Danio rerio: one gene and its partner. The protein of the gene in region 2 interacts with the protein of the main gene of each other region in a pairwise test. Links are inferred from orthologs where the notes say so. Each region holds a gene or a part of one and is shown on either strand. Other genes may lie near its edges.

What was found. The genes of interacting proteins can lie anywhere in the genome.
Region 1: the proteins of sorbs3 (region 2) and socs7 interact in binary tests that used the Homo sapiens proteins (3 or more experiments, as listed by UniProt). The link is inferred for Danio rerio from reciprocal best matches to the Homo sapiens genes SORBS3 and SOCS7.

The regions. Positions count from the first base shown.
Region 1 is NC_133186.1:12,501,951-12,506,323, forward strand, and holds part of socs7 (suppressor of cytokine signaling 7), read right to left. Parts: intron 1,718-4,373; coding exon 1,586-1,717; intron 1-1,585. UniProt on the Homo sapiens protein: Substrate-recognition component of a cullin-5-RING E3 ubiquitin-protein ligase complex (ECS complex, also named CRL5 complex), which mediates the ubiquitination and subsequent proteasomal degradation of target proteins, such as DAB1 and IRS1.
Region 2 is NC_133183.1:45,280,401-45,285,481, reverse strand, and holds the start of sorbs3 (vinexin), read left to right. Parts: upstream 1-2,009; 5' UTR 2,010-2,283; intron 2,284-5,081. UniProt on the Homo sapiens protein: Vinexin alpha isoform promotes up-regulation of actin stress fiber formation. Vinexin beta isoform plays a role in cell spreading and enhances the activation of JNK/SAPK in response to EGF stimulation by using its third SH3 domain.

The sequences.
Region 1 (4,373 bases), on a different chromosome or scaffold from region 2:
GAATGGCGGAAGAAAGTAGTTCCTAATAAAAAAGGGTTTGTAGACTCTCTTTGTTTGATTTTATTATTTATATGCACAATTGTGCCATTGAACTGTTGTATAAACGTAATATCACACAAGATATGGCTGTATATCAGCACTGCACTGCTACTTGTGTGACATTGCTCATATATATATAGTTTGTCTAAAATGATGTACACAAACTATATAGTATACTATACTAGCGCAGTCGTCCCTCCATATTAAAAAGCAACATTTTGTGTCTGCCGATTTGTTTACTTCCCGCACGTTAATTCCTACCAATTGAAAAGTAGTTCAGGAAATATGTTTAATAACATCTGGCCAATGAGTGATGTGCATTTTGGTTCTTTTCAACTGGTTTGGTCCAAAGCAATTAGTGTGGTGTTAAAAGGACCCAAAAGCGACAGAAAAATGCTACAATGTATAATTTGTTGCACTTGGTCTGGACTAAATGGACCAAACCACAGATGTGAGATCAGTCTTTGATTTCTCTAGAGTGTGTGAAGTTTCAGCTCCAAATACCAAATAAATAATGTTTTATACCTCTTTGCCATTTTTTAGGATTTGATGCTAAGTGTGCCATTTTGGTGACTGTTGCTTTAAATTTAAATTAGATTGTGCTTTTTCAAAAGAGGACGGAGCTACAAATGCCTATGTGTCAGCATAGTGGCAGATTCAAAAATAAGACTAATGTCCTATGCTAATTAGGGAGAGATTGTCACTAATGGGCGGGGGTTTCCCCCTGTAATGACACATACAAATGGAGTGTTTCCGCAGAATGTTTTTATCATGTGCGATTATAAAAAATGTAATTAATACATTTTTATCTTTAGAAGCTTATATTTAGGCTGTTGCCAGAAAATGGTGTTTAAACCCTTTATAGAAGTGATTTTTGCACAATAGGTTCCCTTTCAAATATATTTTGAAGTATTACAGTGCATCACAGCTCCTGCATTCACACCAGACAGTAGATATCTGTTTGCGGTATAAACCGCCATGAAACAGACAATCAGAGCAGAGCTCATCGACATTCTTGATCCATCCAAATGGTAAAAACAGACCATTTAATTTTAGTGACAACTCCTAGGGTTTTAAATGGACATGTAAATGAATTTCTGCACTTACTAAAGCCACATACCTTCTATTTAGTTATCAGTGATTTTATCAATGCATTCTATGGTACCTTTAAGCAATAGAACTAAAACACAGCTTAAGGCACCCTCTCAGTCACACTTCCTCTTTTTACAGACACGCAGCCTCCTTCCTCCACACTCTGAAAATAACTGAGAAACGAAACCATGCGGTCAAACCAAAGCCTTTGTTAAGCAAAGTGATACATGCTCTAGGTGCCATGTATTGTCTTTGCCTTTTGCTTTCTCAAGAATATAACAATTACATGAGCACTTTATTCCATTTCCCTTTGCGTTTCACGGAATAAAGAAGCTTCTGAGGGCAGAAAGAGAGACGGTTCACAGAAAGGGAAGGGGAGGTTGGAGTTCTGCTCTCAGAACCGGAAAAGATGCCCAAAAACACCCCGAGCCCCTCCACGGCACCCAAGTCTTACCATTGAGGCTGAGACTATGCTGGATGGTGGCGTGGAGAGGGGGAGGAGGAGGAAGAGGCAGAGGGAGAGACTGCAGGGATGCCCCCATTACGCTCACTAGGAAAGGCCCAGGCTGCGGCCCACCTATATCGTCTGGAAAGAGAGCAGGAGGGAGGGTTCAGAGCCAGGATGAGAAGGAGGAGATGGTACAAAATAAAAGCAATGGAAGTGTAGACAGAAGAGAAGGTTAAGGTCAGGTGCCACGAATGATGAAGAGGAATCTGAATATGACCGAATGCAACCCTAGTGTGACAACAAATAGGACGACAACAACATTTATTACTGCATACGAGCAATTCCAGGCAAATATCAACAGTTTCCACCAAAATAATGAAGGTTGTCAATGTTTTCAAATTATTTAAATTGATTTACCAAAGTAATATTTGCTGTTTGTTCAAACTCCTTATTTAAATTGAGCCAAAACAATACTATTCTTGAGGTTTATTTGGATGGGCAACTTAATTGTTTGGTGCTCAATCCACCTATATTAAAAAAAAAAAAAAAAAAAAACGATTAAGGTAACTTAATTCCTTCATATTGCCCTAACATAAATACATTGTGTGAAACCCAGCATTTTTTACAGTGTATTAGGGTTGCGCCTTATTGGAAAAAAAAATTGACATTGTTATATTTTGTTTCTCAACACTATGCATTGCAATATGTAATATATTTCACCAGATGGATTGAAGAACTCTTTTTGAGAAGAATTCCCTATTTCAGAATATTTTGGGTGATTTGTATAGGGGATTGCTGCTGCATACATTTTTAAAATGATCTTTAAACTAGCTTTCTAAGAGGGAGGGGGTGCTTTATATTTGTCTGGTAAGTCCTAATGCCAGCACAAATATTTACAAATCTAATGTAAAATGAGACTTGGCAGTCCTTCACTATAAAAATGTAATTATTGATCTTTTGTATGACAATACAAATAAAATATTGAGAGGTAAACAGTAATGTAACGTCCATTGTTAATCCCATTCCCCAACCTCTCATTCATTAACTCAATTAACAAAACAACAATAAATAAATATATAAATACCAAATTAAGTACATTAAAATACATAAGAACATGAAATCAGAGAATAACTGGATACAGATGGGAAAAAATAATAATAATTAAAATAATAATATTAATAATAATAAATAAAAACTAAAATAAAAATGGTAAATGGTTGCCAGCACCAGGTGTAATAGGCCGGCCTTTGATGTAGTCAAGAAAGGAATCCCTAGTCTTATAGACCATTTCCATGTGTCATGTCATTGACCCATGATCATTTCCTGCTTGTTATCTAACTATTTCATAACTGTAACTGTTACGATTGACCGGGTGGATGGAGGTAAAGAAGTGTCATAGAAGCCGCTGGTGAAAGTGAAGAGTGATTTATTTATACAAAGTGAAAACAAAAATCCAGCAAAAAAAAGGTGAAAGTGGCAAAATAACAATAAAGAAAAATAAACTATTCAATATTTACAATGTTTGTACAGGCTTGTTCAGCTAAATCAAGTAAATGACCTGAACAAAATCTGCTACCAATACTGACACAAACACAACCTTCTCCTACAACTAATCACACCAAGTAAATGTTTGGGGCCATTTTATTGTATTGGCCCCGCCCATGGGTTAAACCATTTTACTGGTAGTGGGTTACCATGTAGACAAAAAAATACATAAAAAGACATTCAACAGAAATATAAATTAATGCAAGTAAATGAATATGCATACAAAACTCAAAATACAACACAACAAATAACCAATACAAATTTAAACAACAAAACTTTGATTTTTATTTACTGACCAGGGGTTGTGACCCTGATGATGTTATGGAAAATGGCTGCTCCAAAGTGAAGGCGGGAAAAATCTGTATAAATGGCTTTGTTATAAAGTTAAAGAGGTTTGTAGCTGAGAAAAGGAAACTGGTAAGTATATGTAAACTCTCTATGTTTGGTTAATAAATGAAGTTTGAAAGAAAATGTGTCTGTGGTTATTTCAGTGTTGATATGGGCTATTGTTCGACATAAGTGAAATTTTTACATAAACACAATGCTAATCTTGACAGAAAAACAACATATACATATTACACAAACACACATGCACAATACAAATAAAACAAAGGCCCATGTTTAAAAGTGTGTATTTTATGTATGAGTGCAATGTGATGTGTGTTTGTTTGTCACAGTGTCTTAGTTTTACACTGTGACAGTAACAATAGGCAATTCAATCATAACTTAATGTTAAAACGGCTATCATAGCATTATTTATCAATTTGTGGCTCTTTTTGGATTCTCGAAAGCTAAAGAAATAAAAAAATGTAAAACAGGAAATACGTTGGGGCCATTGTTTTTGTTTACATCCTTCAAAATGGTCTATAAAAGAAATCTAGTGAGCCAGAGGGTGAGCATCTCAACTTTTCAAGTCTGATACAGTAAAAAATGTTCTGCATCCACTTGTCATGTGTAGGGGGGAAGTGTGTTTCTACTTTAGAAATAGGGTACGCCTGGCTAAAATTGTGGTAAAGGCAACAACCTTGCTGTCACGGACTGTCAAATCAGGTCCAAGGGATACTCCAAAGAGGGCTAGCAAATGATCAGATTCTATATTGATTTTGATGGCTTTATTGAATGTATTTTAAAAATGTAATTTAAGTAGACTTTGTTATACAAGTGCTATGGTTTCTTGTACCTGCATGGTTTAAACTCACTTAAAATGTTTTAACAGAGAGAAAAAAAAAAAAAAAAAACTAAACACAAA
Region 2 (5,081 bases):
GATTTGGAACTGTAATAGGGTCAAGATCTGCCTGGAACTACTTTTTTGTTTATGCAGCCACGTGTTAAAAGGCACCTATTTTACCCCTTTTTCAAGATTTAAGATAAGTCTTTTGTGTCTCCAAAATGGGTCTGTAAAGTTTCAGCCCAAAACACCCATCAGATTTTTTAATATACCATTCAGAATATTGGAGTTTTCTGCTCTGCTCTGTGGGGTTTTTTTGTTGCCTGTGCACTCAATGATTATTTTCTGTATTTGTTGCTAAGTTAATTTAAGCCTTTCTGCAATGATGAGTCATACACAATGTCTTTATAAAGTTCACACACACACACAGTGAAAAAAAGTTACTGTAACTTTGCACTTTTTGCACGGCAACTGTGACAGGATACACGCTAATGTACAATATACAACGCTGAATAGATATCTGATATATTATTTGTACAAAATAAACCTGATTTAATGTCCACAAATTAGGATTTACTTTAGAAATTTATTGATATGCAGCAGTGGTGATAGAGACGGAAGAATCACTCTAATTCATTACAAACATGCAGTTTTGAAAAGTTTTAAACTTGTAAAACTCATTCTTGATCACTTGATAATGACTTGATAATGATTGATAATTACAGCGAGCAGTAACAGTCCCAGTTGCTTTGAGCACACCCTGTCTTGTTGATATAAAACCCAACAGTCAAATATCAAATGAAATGAGTGTAGTTAACTCAAAACTTACTGAAAGTTAATTCTACTTATTTGAGATATTTGAAAGTTTTGAATTCAGTGTTGAAGGCAATGAGTTAATTACGTACCTCATTACTTCAACTTAAATGGAGTAAGTTAACAGTACTCACACAGATTCGTTGTGCAGAGATCGGTTTCCTCAAACGGTTTGAGTTACCTTAACTTATTAGGTTTTACAGCTCTCAGTTGGTTTGAGTTTTCATCATTTATTGGGTTTTACTTTTCTCAAATTGAACTCAAAAACTCAAATAAATTAAGTTTAAAGTACTCAATAGGATTAGTTTTAGAACTAAAATGGTTTGTTTCAATCTGTTTGTTGAGTTAATTTATTCGGTGTTACAGTGTACGCGTTACTACAGAGACATGTTAATGCGCAGCTGTCAATCAATTAGGTGGGTGGGGAAACCACACTTCTTCTTTCAAACCAAAAGCATGGCAAAGTTGCATAAGCTATCTACTATGTCCCGTGAATCAATTCCAAATAATTAAATCAAATCTTCTATTGCACTCAATCTGTTCCACATACCAATTATGTGCACCTCTGAGTATAATGTGACCACCTGCTGGCACAGGGATCATACCTTGCAACTTTTTGTGAGAGACATTTCAGAGCATATTACTTTGGTGCAGATCCTGAATCATTTCTATTTCAACCGAATACACTGAAAATGAATGTGACTGAACAGACAGGTAATGGAGGAGAAGAGCAGGTTTTAACTGGTGGTGCAAGTATAGGGCTTAGTGCTGGGGATTATTATTGTGCCTACTGTAGCCATGATATGAAAGCAAAGTTCCTTGAATTTTGCTCTGGATTTAGAGTATAGTTCCTAGCCTGGAAAACAGCAACTTTTCATTTTAATTTTTGGTCATAGTGTATGATGTAACTACAAAAGAGTCAAGCTTTAAATAGGGAAACTTATGGAAAATAGGAAACGCTTGTCATTTTTGATTGAGAAGCTAATGGTCTGATTCTATTCAGAGATCTATTTTAAGCTAAACCGAGCTAAAAGTGTTCCTGCCAGACCCAGAGATGGGGTGAATAGATAAAAAATTGGTAAAACCAAAAACTCAAGTCAGGAGCCTCATGTTATTTTGTCTTTGAATTCAGCATACTTGAAACCCATGCTGTGAAATATTACCTTATGGCCACAAAAGACTGACTGGCTATTCAAACTCTCTTCAGTGAAAGCAGCCAAAAGTGAGCCAGGCCTCTGCACATTGTCTGTAGGTTACCACAGTAACCCTTGTCAACCAGGAAGTCCTGTGGAGGTGGAGTGAGTGGGAGAGGGAGAGTGCATGTGTGTGTCAGTATGTGAGAGGGACTTAACAGAGGTTAAGCAGACGGGTGCAAAATCCAGTGGGGAAGGGAGAGAGAGAACTGACTGTTAAAGCAGACCGAGACAGAGAAAAAAAAAGAGAACAGAAAGAGTACAACTTGAAAGGTTAATTTCTACGAAGCAGACCAAACAGCACTTTGAGAATTGTGTGTGTCCTGGGAAATCTGTTTGTGGCAGTACTGTCAGAACACACCCACACAAACTGGTGAGTTCACATGTCTTCCATCTAACAACCATAATCTTGTTACTGTAAGTTTCCTAATGTAAAATACTGTTTGTGCACATAAACCAACTTATTAATTAATTCAGTTTTTTTTTTTTGGTCCAGCTGTGGCAAGGCAGGTTTGTGCTAAATGTTGTGTTAGTCACACATTACTGCTGAAGTTGATTCTTAACTCTCTTTGAAAGGATTAAAGGTCTTTGGTGGGATTTTAATTTCAAAGCAGTGGGAAATAGTATAAATCCAAATCCAAAATCTGTATTCTTCTGGGTGAACGGGGATTTTTCTGTAATGTGGTTTCAAGATTTGATATTTTAGATTTTATTGAGACAGCTTGGTTTGTTGGTTTGCCTGTTATAAATTTGCCTGTTAAGAGTGGTGTAATTGTGTTTATTTTATTAAAATAGTTGTACTATGACCTTGAAATAATTAGGTGTTTTTTAATGAATTAAGATCCACAGGATAGAAAAAAAAACAAACTATGAATTATTTTGCACTTTTATTCTAATTTGTATTATGATGAAATGTTTTAACATAAAAATAATCATTAACCTAAACAAGCATTTAATTATTGATTTGGGATGTGTAATCGTTAAAATTATGTAAACCATAAATATTACAATTATTAAAAATCTTGTATAAATACAGTCTAAATTTGTATGTATAGTGTGTAGGTGGATTTGATTACTCTCTTTGTAAGAGTGTTACATAATAAAGATTTGTCTGAAATACATTATTCTGATTGGTCAGTTGTGACATTGCAAAGTAAGTTATTCCAAAATTACAACCACAGAATAAAACTGACCAGCTTTGTTTTTTGAAAATTTGGGGCCATCTTGTGACTGAATAATGTGCTGGTGTGTATATGCTCCATTCAGCTTCAATTAGCCGTTTTTGCTTCTGTCAGCTTTGTGTTTATTTAAAGATTTAATTAACTATTACAGCTCAGAACAGTGCTTTGTGCTTATTAGTATTTTGGCAAGAAGCCATGTGATAACTGAAATAAAGTATATGCAGCAAAATATTTTGCAGAATAAAGCCCCTTTAGACTTATCCAAACTAGTTCTCTGTAACTCCCTCATGGTCACTTACTGAAGCGACAGTAGGCAGGGCTGCGTCTGATCAGTAACTGGATGGGAGACCACAAGGGAAAACTAGGCTGCTGCTGGAAGTGGTATTAGTGAGACCAGCAGGGGGCTCAACCTATGCTCTGTGTGGGTCCTAACGCTCCAGTATATTGATTTGGACACTATACTGCTCAGTGAGCACCTTTTGGATGAGACGTTAAACTGAGGTCTTGACTCTGTATGTCAGGGGTGTCCAAACTTGGTTCTGGAGTTTAGCTCCAACTTACTGCAACACACCTGCCAGGAAGTTTTTACTATATATAGTAAGAGCCTGATTAGGTGGTTCAGGTAGAGCTAAATTCTCCAGGACACCGGCCCTCAGGGACTGAGTTTAGACACCCCTGCTCTATGTGGTCGTTAAAAATCCCATGATCCCATGAAAAAGAGTAGGGGTTTTACCAAGGCATCCTGGTTAAATTTGCACAATGGTTTCTGTCCATCTTGGCCTCCTAACCATCCCCATAGAACAATTGGCTACATCACTTGTCTCCTCTCCACCAATCAGCTGGTGTGTGATGTGTGGTCTCAAAATGACTGCTGGCGCATCATCCAGGTGGATGCTGCACATTGGTGGTGGATGAGAAGATTTCCCACAAAAAATATGTAAAGCGATTTGATTGTGTAGAAAAGTGCTATATAAATGAAAAATATATATATTGATAGGGACACTTAACTGCTCAGTGAGCGCCTTTCGGATAAGACGTTTAACTGAGGTCTTGACTCTCTATGTCAGGGGTGTCCAAACTTGGTTCTGGAGTTTAGCTCCAACTTACTTCAACATACCTGCCAGGAAGTTTCTACTATATTTAGTAAGACACTAATTAGGTGGTTCAGGTAAAGCTAAATTCTCCAGGACACCAACCCTCAGGGACTGAAGATTTGACCCCAAAAATGTGTAAAGCAATTTGAGTGTCCAGAAAAGCGCTATATAAAAGTAAAAAAAATAACAACCCTTCATGTTGGGCTGCATTTTTTTCAATTGGTGATGAAAACAGATAAAGTTTTCAAATCTGTAAAAGGTTTTTTTATTATTATGAATATACATAATTACTACAAAACAGTGCTTTTCTATAAATTGAAGAAACAGTGAATGCTTTCTGATGATGACAGAATGTCTTCTGTTGACATCACTGAAAAACATGGTAGAAAAAGAGCTGAATCTTAGTGAAAACTGACCTCACAATCATGAGAAAAATATCGGCATATAACTTGAAAATGCTACTTTTAAATTATGCAGCTCTGTTTGAAAACAAGTGTTTTTTTATCTTTATGAAACAAAAGTAAAGTATAGACTTTCCAGTCTGTCCTCATTTGCTTTAAAGACTTCCTACCATTCAAATGCTAATCACAACCTTGTAAACACCCCAAAACACAGAGGACACTACCATTTTGAAAAATAAATATAAAATATATAAGAAAATATTAAAATTTCATTCAAAGAAATGCAACCTTGGTGAGTAGAAGAGACATTTTAATAAAAAAAAAAGTGGAACAGTGTAAAATTACACTTTTGGTTAGTGTTGTTGCAGTTGGGAAAACTAATGTTTGTTTTGGTAATTTATATTATTGAAAACAAAGCTGAATATAATTATATAGATATTTTTGTTTGTATACACTGTCAACTATAGTTCTTAAAAAAAATGTGAAAAATCAGTA